3 linked regions of the Stegostoma tigrinum genome follow. Each later gene encodes a partner of the first gene's protein in a complex. Links are inferred from orthologs where the notes say so. Each region holds a gene or a part of one and is shown in the gene's direction. Other genes may lie near its edges. The genes, in order: gpsm2, protein inscuteable homolog and frmpd4.

Region 1 (8,034 bases):
CATTAACCGCCTCAACCTCTCCACCCCTCTCACCCACTCCAACCTCTCCCCCGCAGAACGGGCAGCCCTCCGCTCCCTCCGCTCCAACCCCAACCTCACCATCAAACCCGCAGACAAGGGTGGCGCAGTGGTAGTATGGCGCACTGACCTCTACATCGCCGAGGCCAGACGCCAACTCTCCGACACCACCTCCTACCGCCTCCTCGATCATGACCCCACACCCGAGCACCAAACCATCATCTCCAACACCATTCACGACTTCATCACCACAGGGGACCTCCCACCCACAGCCTCCAACCTCATTGTTCCCCAACCCCGCACGGCCCGTTTCTATCTCCTTCCCAAAATCCACAAACCTGCCTGCCCTGGTCGACCCATCGTCTCAGCCTGCTCCTGCCCCACCAAACTCATCTCCACCTATCTGGACTCCATTTTCTCCCCTTTGGTCCAGGAACTCCCCACCTACGTCCGTGACACCACCCACGCCCTCCACCTCCTCCAGGACTTCCAATTCCCTGGCCCCCAACACCTCATATTCACCATGGACGTCCAGTCCCTGTACACCTGCATTCCGCATGGAGATGGCCTCAAGGCCCTCCGCTTCTTCCTGTCCCGCAGGCCCGACCAGTCCCCCTCCACCGACACTCTCATCCGCCTAGCTGAACTCGTCCTCACACTCAACAACTTCTCTTTTGACTCCTCCCACTTCCTACAGACTAAGGGGGTGGCCATGGGCACCCGCATGGGCCCCAGCTATGCCTGCCTCTTTGTAGGTTACGTGGAACAGTCCCTCTTCTGCACCTACAGGGGCCCCAAACCCCACCTCTTCCTCCGGTACATTGATGACTGTATCGGCGCCGCCTCTTGCTCCCCAGAGGAGCTCGAACAGTTCATCCACTTCACCAACACCTTCCACCCCAACCTTCAGTTCACCTGGGCCATCTCCAGCACATCCCTCACCTTCCTGGACCTCTCAGTCTCCATCTCAGGCAACCAGCTTGTAACTGATGTCCATTTCAAGCCCACCGACTCCCACAGCTACCTAGAATACACCTCCTCCCACCCACCCTCCTGCAAAAATTCCATCCCCTATTCCCAATTCTTCCGCCTCCGCCGCATCTGCTCCCACGATAAGACATTCCACTCCCGCACATCCCAGATGTCCAAGTTCTTCAAGGACCGCAACTTTCCCCCCACAGTGATCGAGAACGCCCTTGACCGCGTCTCCCGTATTTCCCGCAACACATCCCTCACACCCCGCCCCCGCCACAACCGCCCCAAGAGGATCCCCCTCGTTCTCACACACCACCCTACCAACCTCCGGATACAACGCATTATCCTCCGACACTTCCGCCATTTACAATCCGACCCCACCACCCAAGACATTTTTCCATCCCCTCCCCTGTCAGCTTTCCGGAGAGACCACTCTCTCCGTGACTCCCTTGTTCGCTCCACACTGCCCTCCAACCCCACCATACCCGGCACCTTCCCCTGCAACCGCAGGAAATGCTACACTTGTCCCCACACCTCCTCCCTCACCCCCATCCCAGGCCCCAAGATGACATTCCACATTCAGCAGAGGTTCACCTGCACATCTGCCAATGTGGTATACTGCATCCACTGTACCCGGTGCGGCTTCCTCTACATTGGGGAAACCAAGCGGAGGCTTGGGGACCGCTTTGCAGAACACCTCCGCTCAGTTCGCAACAAACAACTGCACCTCCCAGTCGCAAACCATTTCCACTCCCCCTCCCATTCTCTAGATGACATGTCCATCATGGGCCTCCTGCAGTGCCACAATGATGCCACCCGAAGGTTGCAGGAACAGCAACTCATATTCCGCCTGGGAACCCTGCAGCCATATGGTATCAATGTGGACTTCACCAGTTTCAAAATCTCCCCTTCCCCTACTGCATCCCTAAACCAGCCCAGTTCTTCCCCCCCACCCACCCACTGCATCCCAAAACCAGTCCAACCTGTCTCTGCCTCCCTAACCGGTTCTTCCTCTCACCCATCCCTTCCTCCCACCCCAAGCCGCACCCCCAGCTACCTACTAACCTCATCCCACCTCCTTGACCTGTCCGTCTTCCCTGGACTGACCTATCCCCTCCCTACCTCCCCTATCCCCTCCCTACCTCCCCACCTACACTCTCTCCACCTATCTTCTTTACTCTCCATCTTCGGTCCGCCTCCCCCTCTCTCCCTATTTATTCCAGTTCCCTCTCCCCATCCCCCTCTCTGATGAAGGGTCTAGGCCCGAAACGTCAGCTTTTGTGCTCCTGAGATGCTGCTTGGCCTGCTGTGTTCATCCAGCCTCACATTTTATTATCTTGGAATTCTCCAGCATCTGCAGTTCCCATTATCTCTGAGAGTAAATGATTAAGGCAGGTCTTGGAATAGTGCCCATGTCACTAGATTAGTAACCTAAGGAAACCAGGTGAATGATGTTCTGATGCTGCTCTGCCCACCGCTGACACCGACGTTGCTCCACCCACCGCCTCCACAGCCAGCAGCTCCAGAGTATACACTAGCACCCAGCCCTGTTGGGTCTTCACCATCCCCCCCCCACAGACCTTCCCATCACCAAGGATGAATGGTCAGTCCTCCCTAAAGGACTCACCTTTATTCCCCTCCACCCTAACATCAAAGAATATTGCTCACGCTTGGAAGTTGAACAGGTTTTCTGCTGCCACTGCACTTGCTTCTTTAGTCGTGAGCCTAACAGTCCCTCTACTGAGCCCTTCTCCCGCCTCCAACACATCCCTTCCTCTTGGACACCACCCCAAGGCCTCCGACCATCCCTCGACTTCTTCATTTCCAACTGCCATCAAGACATCAATCACCTCAACTTCTCCACCCCTCTCACCCACTCCAACCTCTCCCCCACAGAATGTGCAGCCCTCCGCTCCAATTCCAACCTCACCATAAAACCCGCGAATAAGGGTGGTGCAGTTGTAGTATGGCGCACTGACCTCTACATCGCCGAGGCCAGGCACCTGCTCTCTGACACCTCCTTCTACCGCCCCCTTGATCATGACCCCACCCTATACCACCAAAACATCATCTCCAGACCATCCACAACCTCATCACCTCAAGTGACCTCCCACCCACAGCATCCAACCTCATTGTTCCCCAGCCCCACACCGCCTGTTTCTATCTCCTTCCCAAAATCCATAAACCTGACTGCCCTGGTTGACCCATCGTCTCTGCCTGCTCCTGTCCCACCAAACTTATCTCCACTTATCTCGCCTCCATTTTCTCCCCCCTGGTCCAGGAACTCCCCACCTATGTCAGTAACACCACCCTCGCCCTTCACCTCCTCCAAAACTTGCAATTCCCTGGTCCCCAACACCTCATCTTTGCCATGTACCTCCAGTCTCTATATTCTTGCATTCCCCATGCAGATGGCCTAAAGGCCCTCCACTTCTTCCTGTCCCTCAGGCCCAACCAGTGCCTCTCCAATGATACCCTTATCTGCTTAGCGGAACTCGTCCTCACCCTTAACAACCACTTCTTCAACTCCGCCCACTTCCTACAGACAAACAGGTGGCCATGGGTACCCACATGGGCCGAAGTTATGCCTGCCTCTTTGAGGAATACATGGAAGTCTGTCTTCCAGAGTTGCACTGGCCCCATACCCCACCTCTTCCTCCATTTTATCGCTGACTGTATTAGCGCCGCCTCATGCTCCCATGAGGAGCTCAAACAGTTCATCCACTTTACTAATACCTCCAACCCCAACCTTAAGTTCACCTAGACCATCTCCGATATCTCTCTCCTTCCTGGACCCCTCTGTTTTCATCTCTGGAAACCACTTGGAAACCGATATCTATTTAAAGCCTACCGATTCCCACAGCTACCTAGAATACCTCTCCCTCGCCTTCCTGAAACAATGTCAATCCCTATTCCCAATTCCTTTGTCTCCGCCCTATCCCGAGATGAGGCATTCCACTCCCGGATATCCCAGATGTCCTCATTTTTCAAGGACCACAACTTCCCCTCCACAGTGGTCGAAAACGCCCTCGACCACATCTTTCACATTTCCTGCAATGCATTCCTCACACCCCCTCCATGCAGTAACAACAAAAACAGAATCCCCCTCATCCTGACATACCACCCCACCAACCTCTGGATTCAATGCATCATCCTCTGCCACTTCTGCCACCTGCAATCTGACCCCACTACCAAGGACATTTCTCCCTCCCTACCCTTATCTGCCTTCCAGAGGGGCCGCTTTCTCCGTGACTCCCTTGTCCACTCCACACTCCCCACTGGCCCCATAACCCCGGCACCATTCCCACCATCCCTGCAACCGCAGGAAGTACTACACCTCCCCTCTCATCCCCATCCCAGGTCTCAAGAAAACCTTCCACATTAAACAGATGTTCACCTGCACATCTGCTGTACATCTATTATATGTGCGGTTCCCAATGTAGCCTCCTCTACATTGGGGAAACCAAGCAGAGGCTTGGAGACCGCTTTCTGGAACACGTATGCTTGGTTCGCGACAAACGACTGCACCTCCCACTTGCAAACCACTTCAAATCTGTCTCCCACTCCTTGGACAACATGTCCATCCTGGGCCTCCTCCAGTGCTACAACAATGCCACCTGAAGTTTGCAGGAACAACACCTCATATTTCGCTTGGGAACCCTGCAGTCCAATGGTCTCAATGTGGACTTCACAAGCTTCAAAATCTAACCCCCCCCCCAACCTCATCCCAAAACTAGCCCAGCTCGTCTGTCTTTTCTCCCACCTATCCTCTCCTCTCACCCCAATCCCCACCCTCACCCACCAGCCACATCCCCGCCTCCTTGACCTGTCCGTCTCCTCTCCACCTATCTGCACCTTTCATCCGCGTTCCCCTATCTCCCTATTTATTTCAGAGCCCCTCCCCCTTCCTATTTCTGAAGAAGGTCCAGACCTGAAACATCAGCTTTCCTGCTCGGCCTGCTGTCCTCATCCCGCTTTACACCTTGTTATCTCAGATTCTCCAGCATCGGCAGTTCCTACTATCTCTGAATGTTCTGAAGACGTGGGTTCAAGTGCCTCATGACAGGTAGTGAAATTTTAACTCAGTAAATATCTAAAATTATAGCCTAATGATCAGCCAAAGTGTAAAAATATCTATTTGGGTTGCCAATGTTCTTTTAGGATCCGCCATCCTTACCTTGTTTATTTTACACGTGACTGTAGAGTCACAGCAATATGGTTTGTTAGCCGTCTGGACAATTAGGGATGGGCAATGTATGCTAGAAACACACAATCCCAACAGTGTGAAAATGGGCTATTCGGCCCGTTGAGTCTACACTGACCGTCTGAAGAGCATACTACCCACACCCACCCGTGCAGACACGGGGAGAATGTGCAAAGCGTCACACAGTCACCCCAGGGTGGAATCGAACCCAGGTCCCTGGTGCTAACGCTGAGCGGCATGCCCCTAGTTAAAAAAAAGCAAGCAAACACATTTTTATTTTGTGATTGCGCTAGTTTAGGCAATGTTGTACAAATCGCATGAATGAAAAGAACAAGGAACTGTGTGTGATTTAAATCGTTACTTCACTGTGTCAGCGCTGGAAGGGTGGGTCGAAAGATGTCCAGCTGTGAGGTTCTTCGTGGTATAGGTGTTCCCAAATCCTGCCGCCGGGAATGGGGCGGGGAGCAGTTCTTTCGTCACCATAACAACCGCGACGTGTCCCCGCCCCCTTGCCCGAACGCTGATTCAAATTTCAGCCATTAGAAGCGCAGGGTTTGCTTATTTGCTTAATTTATGTAACGGCTGCCGATGCTGAGGCAGCTCGTGGAAGGTGCTGCGTAACTGTCGAAACTGGTGGAAATTCGACTGGCAGTGAGCAGTACTGGGAGGATTAAAATTCGGGGGAAAGAGGCACGCTGCTGCATCTTGGAGACTGAGTTTAGAAAGGATTGGATTTCCAGGTTAGCCACTTTGGAAGCACAGCGCCTTCTTTATTTATTAAGACAAAGCGAGTCTCGCTGCGCTTGAATGCGATCTGTCTTTAACATAACTTGTTGACTGAGTTTGATCGAAACACTCCAGTGTCCTGCCATCTCCAGGAGACAAGATTTGTCATACAGGTCAGTATCAAGAATGAGACGCTCTTTCTTCTTGTTTGGCTCTCTTGGTTGGTTTGAAATGCCCCTGTCTGCTCAAAAAGTGACAAATAAAAGGTACCCTAAATGCTAGTTAAGACTTCACCCTGGACTGTTGCCTACGTCGCTCTCCATTAAATTATCTAGATCAACGGCACTTGAAACGTCTTGGGTGTAATCTTTAATCGGATTGCTCCTTCGTGGCCCAATTTTGTATTGGGTATTCATTAGTGAACTGGAACTATAGGACGACCAACCGATAGGATTGTGGAGACAAATTGGAACTTGTCCTGTGTCTTTAAAATGAAAGAAATCAGATGCCTGTCATAAATTGATAGGATAGCCACAACTAGCGACAATGCCAGTACCTTGGCAAAATTAAGCATGTTATAATCCGAAGGAATATCTAGTAGTTCCAAGTACTTGTCGATTTGGGGTTGGCGACAATTTTGTAAGAATTTGAACATGGGTAAGCAATTAATAACTGAAAAGAAATTTTTGGACGTCAGTCAGTCTTTAAGCTTTTTATTAATGGGAAAATAAGCAGATGGATAGAAAGTATCATTTTCTTTCAGCTTAGGCAACAGAGGGCACATTATGTTCAGGAAATTGAAGTGTGACAGTTTGCACATCTGGTAAGAACGATTTCCCTCCCGAACCCCGCATTTAAATGGACAGAAATTGCGAATATATGGACAATTAGGCCGTCTATTAAGGATTGTTGCACCTCTTTGCCTGATTTCCTTGTATCTCCCCATCAAATACCTCACCAAAGCCTGAACAATCCAGTTGTTCCAAGTACAACAGTAAATTGTTATCAATTGTGATTTTTTTTAAGATAATCAAATGTGAGGCTGGATGAACACAGCAGGCCAAGCAGCATCTCAGGAGCCTTTTTGTGGAAATGCAATTTAAATGTAAATTGGAATCCTTGTATTCTTTTTGAATTTGCATATGAGGGATAGATCATCTTTATTCACTGTAAGGAATGAGATCTGTGTAAATGCTATCGTGATGCATCTTGGCTTTTATGACTTAGAACCCATGATTTTACTGTTTTGCTGTACTTTGTTTTCATCAAAGCTGTTTTCATTTTAAATCCAGGATTAGGTATCATGGATACAAACTGCTTTATAGTGTAATAAAGTGTGGAGCTGGATGAACACAGCAGGCCAAGCAGGATCTTAAGAGCACAAAAACTGATGTTTTGGGCCTAGACCCTTCATCAGAAAAGCTTTTCATCCAGTTCCACACTGTTATCTTGGATTCTCCAGCATCTGCGGTTCCTATTATCTCTGTTTTATAGTGTAGTTTCTTTCAGCAAATATAACCATGTGGAAAGTTTAAAGCGGAATAATACACTGCAGAACTGTTTTGCCGTCTTTCTGGTAAAACATCTTGCATTCACATAACTATTTGCAGGTTTTGCTTTTAAAGATTAGCATTTGCTGGCTAGTCTGAATTAAAATTGAAATTTATCATGCTACACAATTAAACATTATTCAGCAACATGATCTACAGTGTACAATAATTAAAATATGCCAAAGGACAACACATGGCAGCCACCAGTACTACATGCATATAACTAATCAAAAAGAGGTAACTTTTACTGACAAACTGAAGTCTCAAATTCAGTCATTAATTCCCGATTATTAAACAGAGGGAAAGCTTGATTTGACTCAATGTTAGAATAAGATTGGACAAGTAACCTATTAACTAATGACTAATCTTTCAAGCACTTGTTTGAGTTATTCAACAGTCTTCAAATATGCAAAAACAGTTGTCTTATTATACCCGCCTAAGATCAGAGGATGTTGGGCCGGGGGGGGGAAATAGCAAAATAGACAGTAGGAGTTAAGATTAGCTATGACTACTGAAATCCAATCCATCCATTCTGAAGAAGGGCTACTGGACCTAAACCAT
Region 2 (6,954 bases), on another chromosome or scaffold:
TTCCACAGGGATTAGTACTGGGACCTCTGTTTTTCGTGATCTACACAAATGATTTGGAGGCAAATGTAACTGGTCAAATTAGTAAATTTTCACACAATACAAAGATTCATGGAATTATGGATAGTGAGGAGGGTTGTCAGAAGAATAGCAGGATAAAAGTCAATTGGAGGCACAGGCAGTAAAATGGCAGATGGAGTTTAATCCGAACAAATGTGAGGTGGTGCATTTTGGAAAGTCACACACAGGTGGAAATTATACAGTGAATGGCAGAAGCCTTAGGAATATTGATATGCAGAGAGATCTAGGTGTTGAATTCCACAGATCACTGAAGTAGCAGCACAGGTAGATAAGTTACTAAAAAACGTATATGCTTTGCTTGCCTTCATTGGAAGGGGCAAGGACAGGCAAGTTATGCTGCAGCTTTATAGAACCTTAGTTCGGCTATACTTGGAACATCGTGTACAGTTCAGCTCACCACACTGCCAGAAGGATGTAGATGCTTTGGAGAGGGTACAGAAAAGACTTACCAGGATGTTGCCTGGTAAGGGGGATTTTAGCTATGAAGAAAGATTGGACGGACTGGGTTAGTTTTCAGCGGAATGCAGGAGGCTGAGGGGCAACCTGAGGAAATTCATAGGGTTGTGAATGGCATGGATAGAGTGGAAAGTATGAACTTTTTTTCCAGGGTGGAGAGGTCAATTACTAGGGGACACAGACTCAAGGTGCAGGGGGGAAGTTTGAAAGAGATGTGCGAGGCACATTTTAAACACAAAGGGTAACGAGTGCCTGGAACGTGTTGCTAGAGGGGTGGTGGAAACAGACACAGTCAAGAAGCACCTGAATGAATACACGAATAGGAAGGGAAGAGCGGGATACAGATCCTGGAAGTGAAGACAGTTTTAATATGGAAAGGCAATATGTGTTGACGCAGGCTTGGAGGGCTGAAGGGCCTGTTCCTGTGCTGTATTGTTCTTTTTTATCTTCGCTCTTCATATTTCCTAAAGGTGAATGGCATTTGACATATAATGATAGCTTTATACCATTGATCATCCAATAGTCTGGCAGAAAGAGCAGTCTAAATTTTGAAGGCAGGCCGAAGGAAGCAGCCTACAGCTTCACTGGATACCAAACTGTCCAGTCCCTATTTGACTATGGATTACCCCTCATTCAGCTTTAGGAATAGCTCCCAGCAGAGAAGGCTCCATACCTGGTTAAATTGGATCTTCCTGGAATTTGGCGGGGGGGGGGGGGGTAAGATGAAACTGTATACTAATGCTGGAGGCAAGAATCCGTCAAGTGCGAGAGACAGTTTACTTCGAGGGATGGAGTTTTATATAGGAATCACCGGAATGGTGCTGCACGGGTAAGAGGCTTGGTCGATGCAAGTTCAGATCTCGTGACATATAAAGTTTGGGTTTCTGAACGAGCACATGGACCAAATGAAAGCTGCAAACTCACAAACGGTGTAGGAGCAAAAGGTGCCCGACTCCTTGGAACAGTTGGAAAGGCTGTTGAAACCCATAGGTTCTCCCTGTCCATCAAGCGTTGAAGATACTCAGAATCTGAGATGGCCATGTTGAATGTTGCGGCCTCAATGACTTTGCAGCCTGAAGAAGAGAAAGATTTCCTTTCAAGGCGCTCTGGGCACAAGAGGCAAGCTTCTGTGCATTATACACCACACATATCTGAGACAGAGTTGGAGGACACTGATCCAATGCTAAAATGCCTCAGGAGGAGCTACAGATAAAAACACTTGTGTACATCCTCTAGCGCGGAGGGGAGGGTTGTAGTGATTGTAACAAGACCAGCCAGGTGGAACTCATAGAATATGAGTTCCCTGATTCAGGCTGTTAATCTGGTCCAATGACAGAGCCCTGATGAAAGATATAAACAGGACTATCAGATATTTTCTGAAGAAGGGTCTAGGCCCGAAACGTCAGTTTTCCTGCTCCTCTGACAGTGGTTGGCCTGCTGTGTTCATCCAGCTCTACACCTTGTTATCTTATCTTCTATCAGATATCCTGTTCACACTGAGAGTGGCACTGAGGAAGCTGGATCAGTGTGAATGGCTCTCCACTTGTAAATAAAGGGTGACTTGCTGACAGGATACTGCCCTCTGTGGAGTTATTTCAATGGCCATTTGAAAGGTCAAAAAATCAAACTTTTTTTTATAAATTGTATTTGGAATATGAGCATCACTGGAAAATGTTTTGTCCATTCTTCATTGCCGTGAACAGGTGATTGTGCATCTGAATTTCCAGTATACGTTTAGATTAGATTAGATTAGATTCCCTACAGTGTGGAAGCAGGCCCTTCGGCCCAACAAGTCCACACCGCCCCTTAGAGCATCCCACGCAGGGTCATCCTCATCCCCCGAGAACCCACACACCCCTGAACGCTATGGGCAATTTAGCATGGCCTATCCACCTAGCCTGCACATCTTTGGACTGTGGGAGGAAACTGGAGCACCCGGAGGAAACCCACGCAGACACGGGGAGAATGTGCAAACTCCACACAGACAGTTACACAAGGCTGGAATCGTACCCTGGTCCCTGACGCTGTGAGGCTGCAGTGCTAACCACTGAGCCACCGTTCTGACAAATGAGATGTGCCGACTAAAATGCAATGCTGATGACCCTTCACGATTAAGTAAGTGTAGGGCTTAATTTCACTGGTACCACTAAATTAAATAATTGACCTTCGTCCAGTTCTCTGAAGTATTCGGAAAAACATCAATAAGTTTTCATGAGCAGTGTTTAATCTAACTTTGGAAATTGTGAGACAGGAAAACATTCACAAATTTCTGTGGAAAACTTGAACAGACATCAATTCACAACTGACAACATTGTAACTTCAAGAGTAAGTACCTGACTTCAAAATAACATTCCAGGAATAGTCGAACTGCTCAACCTCTGTGCACAAAAATCAAGATGAAAGCAATGTCTCAGAGAATAATGTGTGTTTGTGGATATGGTTTTGTGTTTCTTTAATTGAGATTTCTAATATTAAAGCATATTACCTCAGATGTTAGAAATCTGAAATAAAGTCAGAATGTGCTGGAGAAAGTCAGCAAGTCTGGTAACATCTGTGAAGAGAGAACCAGAGTTAATGTTTTCAGTCTGATATGACTTCTCCAGATCAAAAGGAGAGTCATATTGGACTCAAACCATCAACTGTTCTACTGTCCTCAAATGCTTACAGAGCTGCTGAGTTTCTCCAGCAATTTCTGCTTTTATTTCCATCATTCATCTTTGTACAGTTTGGATTTGTTTCTTGTGGTAAAACATTACTGAACATATCTTCATATTCCTTTTCAAAGTATTTCCTGGAATATCGTTTTTTTTGTACAAAGGTTTCTTTCAACATAATTATGCGGAAACATAACCTCGTGACATATTAATGCAGTTGAATTCTCTATTTTGAAGTTGTAAAACTCATTAAATAATCTAATCTTCTGAATGCACCCGCTGTTAACCAACACCTATAACTATCTAGGATTTCATGGGAAAATCTTTTTGAACTTTTCTGCTATAACAGCAGACACAAATAGAATGGTTCTCTGTCTGTTTGGACTGAAGCCCAGTTAAAGCTATGCACTGTTTCTCTGACAGGATGATGTGGTCTCTTATCCAAAACAAAAAATCTGAGTCTCGGCTAGAGTGCAGAGGCACTTCAGTGGGAAGAGAATAAATAAAATTGATGTAGTGGTTGGTGAAAATTTGAAGTCCTCACATCCCTTCAGAAGCCTGAAACGAGTTTTATTTCCAGATGAAACTTGTCTTCTTTCTTAGTTTGCACAGGCTTTTGTTTCGTTGGGAAAGCAAACAGCAGGGGTATTTCAGAGGAGGTGTGGGAGCACAGACAACCGCAAAGAACTCTGATTCAGTTCTGAATTTTAATTTATTCCTGGGTAAGTTTGTTTTTGGGGAGGACTGTTTACTGCACGGTTGGTTTTTCTGTTATGTTCGCATTGTCATGTCAAATCAACTGGTGTCTTTGCATACAATGTTGTATTCTATCAGTTAATACATCATGCATGCCATAGACAAAAGAAAATTTCCTCCCTGAGAAAGTTGGTTATAATTTTAGAGCATTCGTAATCCAAAATTCTTTCTGTAGTATGAGATAACACGGTGTGAAGCTGGATGAACACAGCAGGCCAAGCAGCTTCAGAGGAGCATAAAAGTTTGATGTTTCGGGTCGAGGCCTCTCACCCTATCTTCTCCTTTATCCATCTTCTATCCTCCTCCCCCTGTCTACCTATTTATTTCAGAATTCCCTTCCCCTCCCCCATTTCTGAAGAAGCGTCTCGACCTGAAACGTCAAACTTTCCTGCTCCTCTGATGCTGCTTGGCCTGCTGTGTTCATCCAGCTTCACACCATGTTATCTCAGATTCTCCAGCATCGGCAGTTCCTACTATTTACTTTCTGTAGTGTGTTTGTTTTGTGACAGAACATTGGTTATTTCCAGTTATTAATTCCCCCTTAGAGTTGGTGGGCTGGGGGCAGGAGGGGGCATCCGTACATTTCCATTGCATTGTATATGGTAACTTGTAATATTGGGAGAATCTTCTGGTAGTGGTGAGGTTGTTAATTGGAGCGATGTCATCCTGCAAATTTCTCCAGGCTGTCCAGGAAGGGCACAAGGTCCTGTTTCCCAGGGACAGCAGCAGGAGGTCATCCCATCAGACGCAGGCCCAGGCTGAGTTAGCAGTGCTTGTCAGCACCAGCTTGGCATACAAAAGTACCAAGGTCCCAAACTGAAAAAGGAAGAATGATCTGCTGCAATTGACACACATGTATAATGTGTAATCATTGGAAAGTGACACTTGAAAGAAAATCAAATTGTGTAATGTGCGAGTGCAGAGAGCTGTCAGACATGAATTTGTGTTTCAAGCATAGGCATTAGGTGGAATTTGCAGGCTGAATGTGTGGTAGTCAGTTCATGCTGTGAATTTTGTATAAAATACATGGCAGTGTGGGTATCAAACAATAATTGGAGAGGGATCTAGAACTCGTAGACATGCATACCTATAAAGTATTTATGAATGCTTTTTTTATTCACTTGTGGAGTGTGGGTGTTACAGGCTGGTAAGAATTTATTGCCTATTCTTAGTTGCCCTTAAGAATGTGGTGTTGAGCTGTTTTCTGAACCTCCGCAGCTCTGTGCTACGGGTTGACTCACAAAGTCCTTAGCAAGGGAGTTCCAGAATTTTGACCAAGTGACAGTGAAGGAATGATAATATATTTCCAATATATTGGGATTGCCTGTCTGCTGAAGAAAAGGGTTCATAACTGGAGTACAAGACTGGAGGAGAGCCAAATGATTTAAGGATCCTAGCCCACTTTGAAGAGGAGGCCATTGAATGCGCTGGTGGGCACAGGACTGTGCATGTGGCAATAGAGAGACCTGAATCTGACAGTAACACAGTGAGGATGCCTCCAGTCGCTATTGGAGCACGAATAACTGGACATCCTTTACGAATGTTCAATCTATGCGCATTAACACTTACAAATGTGTTCCCATGCAGTGGTGTGCTAATAATAATTTTAAAGATCTGGCATACGAAGAATTCCTCATACTCACAATCAGCTATGTTACATTATTTGCATTGTGTGCTGACATGTGTACAAATTGATGAATGGACTCAAGGATGGAACCTGTTCACAACCTGGAAACTGCCTGTATCATTGCCTAATGTCTGAAATCTTATCGAGAAAAGGAACTGTGTATAGAAATTAACTCATTCTTTTTGTTTTTGTATCAATGCCAAATTACAAATGCCTGAATCATCCAATGGAGTTAGTGTCTGGGCTTGTATGTGTCAAGGGCCTACAATGTTTTCCCCTACTGGTACCCAAGCTGGCGGGAATGTGTAGTGTTATGCAGAAGTAATGTCCTGGTCCTGCTAGCGTAGACACTACAATGTTGCCTGAGCAGCAGATTTAGCATAAGTGAGATGTGCAATATTTCAAATTGGCATGTACATAGTAGCACAGTATTAGCAATGTCATGGCATTAATGTAAATTTAAACATAACGTGAAATACCCATCGAAGCAAAAGCATAACACAATGAAGCCAGAATGCATGTGCCCACAAGAGAAGGTCAGGCTCCCAGCCAACAGAGAATGATAACCCATTGTGGTGGTGTGATGCCTCACTTGAGCTGGAGGCTGGTACTGACGAGGTTATCACTAGTCTGTCTACAACACCATTAATGTGATACCTGCCATGTCCATTCCCTCCCAGCAGCATCATCTTCACCTTCTTCCTGTCAGAGGAGGTATCTGGCACCTTTAACCTCAGAAAATTCTTCCTCGCTTAGCTGAGTGAAGTTGCATCGGCTACAGCAGACCACAAAAATCCTGCGCAATCTTTCAGGTGGGTGCTAAACTACTCCACCTGAACAGCCCCAGCGGTGGAACCTCATCTTTAGCAGTCCAATAGCTTGTACATTTTTGCCTTTATCAAGGTATTGGAGAGGGAGGAGTTGACATCAGGTGATTTATGGCCTGGAGTGGCGGTAATCAATGTTGTATATTGACCTTGTATTGTGGAAACATCCCTCCCCCTCCAGGCTTCACATTCAAGTCAATTACTTATTCTCTTTGTTGTACGCAATCCTTGGTCTGGTATCTTGCAAACGTTGCTCCTGATGTGGTCTCCTCTATATTGGGGAGACCAAATGTAGACTTGGGGACTGGTTCACGGAGCACCTGTGATCTGCAAGCACCAACCAACCCGATCTTCTGATTGCCATCCATTTTAATTCCCCCTCCCACTCCCCTGGCGATATGTCCATCCTTGGCTTCCTCTACTGTCAGAGTGAGGCCAAATGTAAACTGAAGGAACAACACCTGATATTTCACCTTGGAAGCTTACACCCTAATGCCTTAACACTGATGTCACCAGCTTCAAGATCCCTCCATCCCCAGGCTTATCCCATGTCCAG
Region 3 (7,699 bases), on another chromosome or scaffold:
TCACAGATCATGATGCTTCTGTTGGCACACTTTGAAATCGGGCACATCCAATCTGCCCATGACCTGGGCACAGTAGAGCCACTTCCACCTGAGTACATCCATCCCACTCCTTGATCACAAATACAATAGGTGACCAAGAGCACCAAGCCTCTGCATTTGGCACCAATGTCGCTCTACGTGTGTGGGCCTCAATAACAATGATCATGAAGCCATTGGTGATTGTGATTAGTGGCCAGATGAGTTTTCAATGACTGCCATTAGAAGGAAATCAGCTGTTCTTGTCCAATCTGGCTGCATGTGTCTCCAGATTCCCAGCAGTTTTTCAGATTCCCAAAAGCCCTCTGAAATGGCCTAGTAACTCGCTCAGTTGTAATGTATCACCACAAAGTCAAAATGAATAAAACAAAGTGAGACCACCAAACATTGACAAAGGCATTGTAAATGAGAGTAACAAATCCACCTCAGGCTTGTGCCAAGTTCAACAGAGCATTACCACAATTGACTTAAAGCAACAATCTGAGATGTGCATTGAATCACTGACAATCGTTGAAATACCAAGCCCCAGACTCAACCACAGCCAAATCTGTGTATGTTCTGAACTAGTGTCAGCAAGTAGCCAAACACCATGAATCTCACAGCATCAAGTCAAATATGGGCAAGGTAACATCCTGCTGATAACCACTGACTAACCCCTGTCAGCTGGTGAACCAGTACTTTTTCATGTTGAATACAATTTGGAAAGAAGCACTGAGACTGGGCATGCTCCAGAATGTACTCTGCTTGTGGCTTTAAGAGGTGTGTTTTGTCCTGGTTTCTTTTAGACAGAAGTTGCAGGAATAGGTGTTAAGCAGTCAGTGGCGTTAAACAATTTGTGAAGCGTTGGGTGTTCTCCAAAAGTTGGAACAATAGAAGTACACGCCGTCGAGACATACATGCCCAGGATTTTGCAGGTTTTGCTTTATTTAGTAGGTGTGAACTGAAATTGTGGAAGGAAAAGACGTCTCTCTCTGGGGCGCTGCTGCATGTAGCTCTTTCTTGCTGATAGGATTGAATGTGAGACAATCTGTCTTCTGAATTTGCATTTTGTTAAGGGTGTGTTTATGGGGTATTACTATAATGGAACAGGTAATTATTAATAGTTACTGTATCTACTGTTCTGTTAAATTTTCTAGGAGAGTTGTTGATCCAATTCGTCCTCTCTCGTGTATTTTTACTATAGTGCATGAATAAAGGGTGTTCTATTTTAAATCTGGTGGTTTAACCAATCAAATTGCATCTGGAATGAACACCTTACATTTACCTTTAAAATAAGAAAAAGCTAGGGTCTTAACTACCTTCTGAATAGTTAGAAGGAGGTTTTGGTCTGATCCTTAACTTAGTGGCTCCACTATTGACTAGGCTTTGAGTTCTGAAGGTCATAGAAGCTAGACTGCATTTACAGCAAGTGGTAGGTGAATTAACAAGGAGAAAGAAAAATCCTACCTGGCCTCATTAACATGGCTAAAACTGTTTCAGATGCATGGGCCATTGATAGAATTGGTATGACGCCCATCATGCAATCTGTCTGGGCATAAAGCCCATCTTCACATTTTGGATACTCTTCATTGTGTTGTGCCATGCTAACTGGGACAGACTTTCAACAGATCTTGACAGTTCAAAGCAGTACATCTGTGAAACGTGATGAGCCATCAGCAGAGTTCAATCACAATTCCATGGCCCAGCATATTCCTTAATCTACTGTTACCATCAAATTGAGGATTAACTCTGGTTCAAAAAAGACTGATTGAGGCCTTGTCAGAAATAGCACCAGGCATACCTGAAAACAAAGTATAAACCTGGTGGGAATCTGAAACAGAATTACTTATTTGCCAATGAACAGAAGCAGACGTAAGTCATCCAAATGGTCAGATTTAAAATTTGCAGTTCTCCCACAACTAGGTGTGAACAGGGATGGGCAATTTTCTAAGTAACAGAGGATAAGGCTCTACTCCTCAACTGTGGAACAAGGCTGAAGAACTTTGCATCTACCTTCAGCCAGAAGAGCAATGTGGATGATTCATGATGAATGGACTAATGTATCAAATTGGTCCCAATAAAATTACAAAGTGTGTGTATTCACCACACAACTTGAGAGAAACTGGAAGCAGACTTCCAGGTGAGTTTTAATATGTGGTTGCCCAAACATCAGTTGATCCAAAAATAACTGGCCATAGTTAATGATCCAGAGTAATTCTATCTGTTGTAAATTGGCAGCAATCTCAGGTTAAAGCACAGACATGTTCAGTGGCAGGCACGGTTGTTTACACATGTAAAAAAATCCTGGCAGAGGTCCTGCATCAGTAGTGCAGCGGCTAATTGATGAATTCTTAATGTAACCCACACAATAAGGACTAACATAGGAAGGTCAATGAAAAATCAGGAAGCCAGGCATGTTCACTGAAAATTACTCCCATTAATTTTTCCAGTTTTGACAGTCTGGCCTCCAATCCTGGAGGAATGTGCATTGACATTAATTGGTCACTGACTGATTCATTTCAGGAGCAAAAATAAAAGGTTGAGTTTCTGACTATACAGGGAGTTGTACAGTGGAGGGAAAGGAACCTAGCTTTCCCATGTGGGTTAATTCTGGTCTCTGTAATGTATTTTCTCGGAGAACTGCAACTCCATTTCTATCCCAAACTTCGTCTAACTGGAGAATGATATGTAATCCCAAGTGGTGTTCCTGTGATTGGAGGAATATTGTACTTGTGGAATATAAATGCTCATAGGAATTAATATAGTAGCTTTGTAGAAGATCAGACGCTTGCAGAATTGGCTGCGATCCTGGCTGAAAATGGTCGGGTCAGCCATAATCTCACTGAATAATGAAACAGACTCAATGGGTCTATTGCCTGCTTCTGCATCTAATGGCCTTATTAAACCAGAGAGTTTATATAAATGGACCTTTGACCCATCAGTAGAATATGATCAGTATAGTCCCACAAGTGTTTGTGCTGGGCCCTCAACTTTTTAAAACCTGTATCAATGATGGGAGCAATGGCATAGTAGCTAAATACAAAGATCACCATATGATAGTTGGGAAGTATGTTGTGAAGAAGACGTGAGGTTGTGGTTGGATATAGGTAGGATGAGTAAGTGTACAAAAATCTGGTGATGCAGTATAATGAGGGCAAATATTAAGTTCATTTTGGCAAGAACAGTTAAAATATAAACAATTAAATGGAGAATGATTGCAGAATTCCAAGGCTCAGAGGAACTTGGGTGTTCTTGTGTATGAGTCAATGGTATGTGGGAACAGCATGCAGTCAAGAAGGCTGATGCTATCCTTTGTTATGAGAGGAATTGAACGTAATAGTGAGGATGTTGTGCTTTAGTTGCACAGGGTATTGGTGACGTGCAGTATTGCTAACCTTAATTAGGCAGGGAAGCAACTGCATTGGAGGCAGTTCAGGGAAAAATTATTAGCTTGAATGATGGAATGAGTGGATTGAGAATAGGTTGGGCAGTGACTGGACTTGTTTCTATTGGAGTTTGAAAGAGTGAGGGGTGATATGAATGAAGTGTATAGAATCCCGAATGGTGTAGACAAGTGGCCAATGGAAAGAATGTGACCTTTTGTGAGGCAGTTTTAAAATTGGGGGCACCCTTTTTGGATAAGGCTGCGGAGAGATTCCTTTTCTCTCAGGGTTGTGTGGCTTTGGAATTCTTGGCATCTGAGGAGAATGGAGGTGGGCTTGTTGAATAAAATCAAGGTGGAGGTAGACAGATTCTTGTTAGTCAAGGGAATCAAAATTTATCAGGGAATGTAAAATTTGAAAAAAAAACATGGATCAGCCATGATCTTATTGGATAGAAGTTAGCTGGAGGGGCTCATATTGGCTCCTTTTCTTTGTTCATCACACACTTACGATCTTGCAGACATTTGGCATCCTTTAATTGCAGCAACATATTTAATATACATTGAGATGGTATGCCAGTCTTTGAGAATTCTGAGGTATCTTAAATCCTCTGTTTGTGAGATAACAACTTTTAGAAACTTAGAACAGGTGTCAGCCCGGGTAATGAAGAAAACAAAACTTTTGACAGTGACTGGTCATTTCAACCAAGTTTTTAAAATGAAGAAAGGATTTGAATTTAGCAATGTTTAATATAAAACAATTGTAAGCTGCTTCTGTTTAACGTAAATAAAGATTTGAACCTTCCGGTGCACTGTGTACCCTTTTGTATGAAGTTACCTTGAGAATTAGTTTTATAGAAAGATAACTAGGTTTCTGTCTAGGCAAGATTGATGTTTAATTAAATCTTTATCACCGTGTTTTCTTTAACTATCCTTTTGTTGCAATGTTTCGTTATTTTTCTCGGAACTCATGAATCTGTCAATTAAATTGTAAAGGTCAAATTGCCATTGTGTACTCGCAGAGAAATATTCTGACTTGTGCTCACCAAGCAGCAGGATCTATTCATATGCAGTTTCCACAACAACTCTCGAGGGTTAAGTGTAGTGGGAAATATGTAGTTTTGCAGACGGGAAACAGTCGCTGAAGTGAGGGAAGAACTTAAGCGAGCATCATGTTCCCGTGCATTTTAACAGGCGAGAGCCTGTACAGGTCGGAGTCAGAATGATAGCGCACCTGTCTAAAGCGAGCTGTTTTCCTTTCGAGCACTAGGTTTTATTTTGCTTCTTCTGCGGCGTTTGCCTCCCCCTACACCCCTTCCCCCTCCAAAAAAAAGATTTTGCTTTAATTTGTCATCAAGTGTTGGCTGTGATTGGAGCAAACCCGAGAGGAGACAAGCAAGCAGCAGGAGTGATTTTGCGTGCATCCTCGGAGTTGCTGCCTGCCTCGGAGACTCCCACTCCCAGTGGCTTGCCATTTGACTGAGGGGCTAAGAGGGGTCAGTGGGAGCATGCCAATTGGTGGCGGGGGAATGTGAGCACTGAACGCCGGATCTCTCAGGGAGAGCCAATGTTACCTCAAGCCGGAGTGGATGGACCCGTGAATCTCGGAGCAGGAGGAAAGGGAAGCCGTTCCTCTCCATGTAGCCCCAGTCGATTTGAATAAGGATACATTATGGAGCTGGAGTGAGGACACAAGAGCTTTCTGCATGCATGGATGTGTTTAGCTTTGTGAAGATCGCAAAGCTGTCAAGGTAAGCGTGCCTCATACATCCTCTGAATATTGTCCACTGCTCATTAGCGACTGCAAGCTCCCCGTCCCGTGGAATCCGCTCGATTGGATGTACAGCCACAACAGGGACAGCCGTGAAGACACGATGCATCATTTTTAGGAGCAGCAGCATTTTTACTCCCTATGACTAACGCTGTCTTAGTGTAATGGTTACAGGCAGATAGGTTGTCGAGCTTCGGGGATAATAGAGATGCAGTGAAAAGGGTGTGTAAGTGGGAAAAGAATTATAGCTTGGTGGAAAATTGGAGAATGATTTCATTACATTTTACTAGTGGCCAATTTCGATCTTTAGAAGTCTTGAAGCCGGTGTTTGATGGCTTATTAACAGTAACACTTCGATGTCTTCCCAACTGTGGGAGAATATTGAATCTTTTTTTTCCAGTGTGCTGAATATTACGTGGGGGGTGGGGGGGGGGGGGGAACAGAACGATAAATCAACTGTCCTTTATCGCTGATGCCCTGGTCGAAAAAAAGTTGAATTCATTTTTAGCGTCGCCAAAGCTACTTGTTTGATATGCTCCGGTGTTGAATAATGCTCAGATGGTCGTATTTGTGTCTGATGGGTACATGAGCAAATGTCAGTTTTAATTCGGCTGATGTTTCTGAGTCTGGCATTTATTTTGATGTAAACCAGCAGATATTCCTGACACTTTAATTGTTGGGTGCGAGGGAGTTTGGGCTCGCATTAAGCAATGGCACTGTGTGTCTGTGGATAATTCTCATTACCCCTCCTCTCTCAACAACATACAAACATTCTCTCCGCTGGTGTACACCCTACAAACAGGCACTCGTTTTAAAGAAATGTCACTGCACGCGCCTTTGCTGGATGATCTTTAGTTTACTGTTAATTATAATCTGTCAGAAATTCTTCAGGTTTGATCACGCAAATGAGAAGATACCTTCCAACGCCAGCTTTTCCCCTGCATTTCGATGTAATGGGTTTCACTGTAGGGATCAACTTTGTCTCTCAAATTATATTAAGTGACTTCGTAAAACGGCAAATTCACAACTTATGGATATTTTAAAATAACAATGAAAAATACACGTTGCATGGTATTTCTTAGGCAGGAAGGATATGAAAAATAAATCGACTAATCAAGTTTTCAGTTATTGTGAATCATTTGAATCTGCTTTGGAATTCTCTGAGCACTGAACATATGCAATTCTATGGAAAATCTCTGTCTGCAACTTTCCAACACTTAAGTTCCTGAAGTAGAATTAAACAAATGTGAAGTACAGTTTACTCACTGGGCACATGAAGACCTGGGTATTATCAGTATTTGTTACTATTGGGATCTGTCCACCAGTCTGCAGAACATATGGTTCATGACCAAAATATTGTTTTGTATTGCAATACATGAAAGAATAGAAAAATATTTGCTTGTTTGTACAAAGAAACCTCGATGGATTCCTGGAAGGAAGGAAATACATTTACATCGAGATTTTAAAAAAGCCCTCACAAATCCTGAAGATTTGAAATATGTGATTAAGGAAAGCAATAAATGTTGCAAAATAACAGATTGTTGGCTTAGAATCTACATGAGACAAGATAGGTTTGTGTTTCTGATAAGGCCTTTCAACATGACATGAAAGTTAATCAGTCTTCCTTCAATGCTGATTAATTTCCCATGTGCTTTCAAAATTTGCTCTTTTGTTATCTAACTGAGAATATAGTGAAGTCTTAAGTTCTTGCTGTCACCTTGAAACTGCTTACTGATAGAATCAGTTGTAAATGATTATACACCATAAACTTGATTGGGTGGTGTTATTCAGTTTTGAGGTCTAATAACAGTCGCTATGCGCTCCATGCTTTCAGAGCTGAGGCATTCGTATTGACTGAGAAACCGTTACGACACTAAGTTTGTCAAAAATCAATACCTGAAAAATTTAATAACTTTGTATGTTTTAGAAAATCTGCGTTCTGCTGTACAGTTCTGCATTAAGAAAATAATCCTTCAAATTAATAGAATTCACAGAAGAATTGCAAAGGAAATGGCAGTATCAATTTTCCAAATTGGTTGCAATTTATACCAAATAGCTTTACCCAAAGACAGTTACGGGCACTATTTTTCAGTGGTGATCTTCACAATTGTATGTCATTTTAGTGCACTGGGACATATGCAAACAACACACCTGTGGCAGAAATAGCAAATGTCATACGAGTGAAACGTAAAGCATGTGGTGGTCAATAAGAAACCTTGGATTGGGAAATGACAACACCTCTGGCTTTAGGAAAGCATTTCAATCTGTCCACAGATCTTGAAAGGGAAGAGATGAAAAACGTGAAGGCTCTGGAAATCCAACGTGCAATCTCGAGACTGCAGCCATTTCATAATACAGTCCAACTCTTTTCCCAGTTTTTATGATTGCTCATGTTCAGGTGATGCTGCATGAGTGCAAGGAGGGTGGTTCTGTTCCTATATAACAGTACAATTCCACTAAATAAGCATTGCAAGATGCCTGGATGGAAATTATAACAGGGTTCAAATTGCATTTGAGTAGAACTGTCCTTG

Evidence for each region.
Region 2: the proteins of gpsm2 (region 1) and protein inscuteable homolog are in contact, whole or in part, in a crystal structure (PDB 3RO3), measured with the Mus musculus proteins. The link is inferred for Stegostoma tigrinum from reciprocal best matches to the Homo sapiens genes GPSM2 and INSC. Residues at the interface, in NP_083798.2 of Mus musculus: Asn210, Tyr213, Leu214, Phe218, Arg242, Ser246, Asn247, Asn250, Ile253, Phe254, Tyr265, Gln283, Tyr286, Ser287, Asn290, Thr291, Thr293, Leu294, Arg323, Trp326, Ser327, Asn330; in XP_006507722.1 of Mus musculus: Val72, Asp73, Ser74, Val75, Arg77, Trp78, Met79, Asp81, Leu82, Lys83, Leu84, Met85, Thr86, Glu87.
Region 3: the proteins of gpsm2 (region 1) and frmpd4 are in contact, whole or in part, in a crystal structure (PDB 4WND), measured with the Homo sapiens proteins. The link is inferred for Stegostoma tigrinum from reciprocal best matches to the Homo sapiens genes GPSM2 and FRMPD4. Residues at the interface, in NP_001307967.1 of Homo sapiens: Leu25, Ala28, Leu29, Glu32, Asp57, Lys59, Thr60, Ser62, Ala63, Ile64, Ser66, Gln67, Asn70, Phe73, Tyr74, His85, Asp88, Ala92, Gly100, Lys103, Asn107, Asn110, Thr111, Lys113, His128, Arg143, Tyr146, Asn147, Asn150, His153; in NP_055543.2 of Homo sapiens: Gln988, Leu989, Leu990, His991, Ser992, His994, Met995, Glu996, Met997, Glu998, Pro999, Glu1000, Thr1001, Met1002, Glu1003, Thr1004, Lys1005, Ser1006, Val1007, Thr1008, Asp1009, Tyr1010, Phe1011, Ser1012.

Annotation. Positions count from the first base shown.
Region 1 is NC_081361.1:39,760,277-39,768,310, reverse strand, and holds the start of gpsm2 (G-protein-signaling modulator 2), read left to right. Parts: upstream 1-4,954; 5' UTR 4,955-5,059; intron 5,060-5,789; exon of another isoform or gene 5,790-6,096; intron 6,097-8,034. UniProt on the Homo sapiens protein: Plays an important role in mitotic spindle pole organization via its interaction with NUMA1. Required for cortical dynein-dynactin complex recruitment during metaphase. Plays a role in metaphase spindle orientation.
Region 2 is NC_081370.1:31,159,110-31,166,063, forward strand, and holds the start of protein inscuteable homolog, read left to right. Parts: upstream 1-3,862; 5' UTR 3,863-3,910; intron 3,911-6,954. UniProt on the Homo sapiens protein: May function as an adapter linking the Par3 complex to the GPSM1/GPSM2 complex. Involved in spindle orientation during mitosis. May regulate cell proliferation and differentiation in the developing nervous system.
Region 3 is NC_081365.1:63,271,984-63,279,682, forward strand, and holds the start of frmpd4 (FERM and PDZ domain-containing protein 4), read left to right. Parts: upstream 1-4,601; 5' UTR 4,602-5,107; coding exon 5,108-5,148; intron 5,149-7,699. UniProt on the Homo sapiens protein: Positive regulator of dendritic spine morphogenesis and density. Required for the maintenance of excitatory synaptic transmission. Binds phosphatidylinositol 4,5-bisphosphate.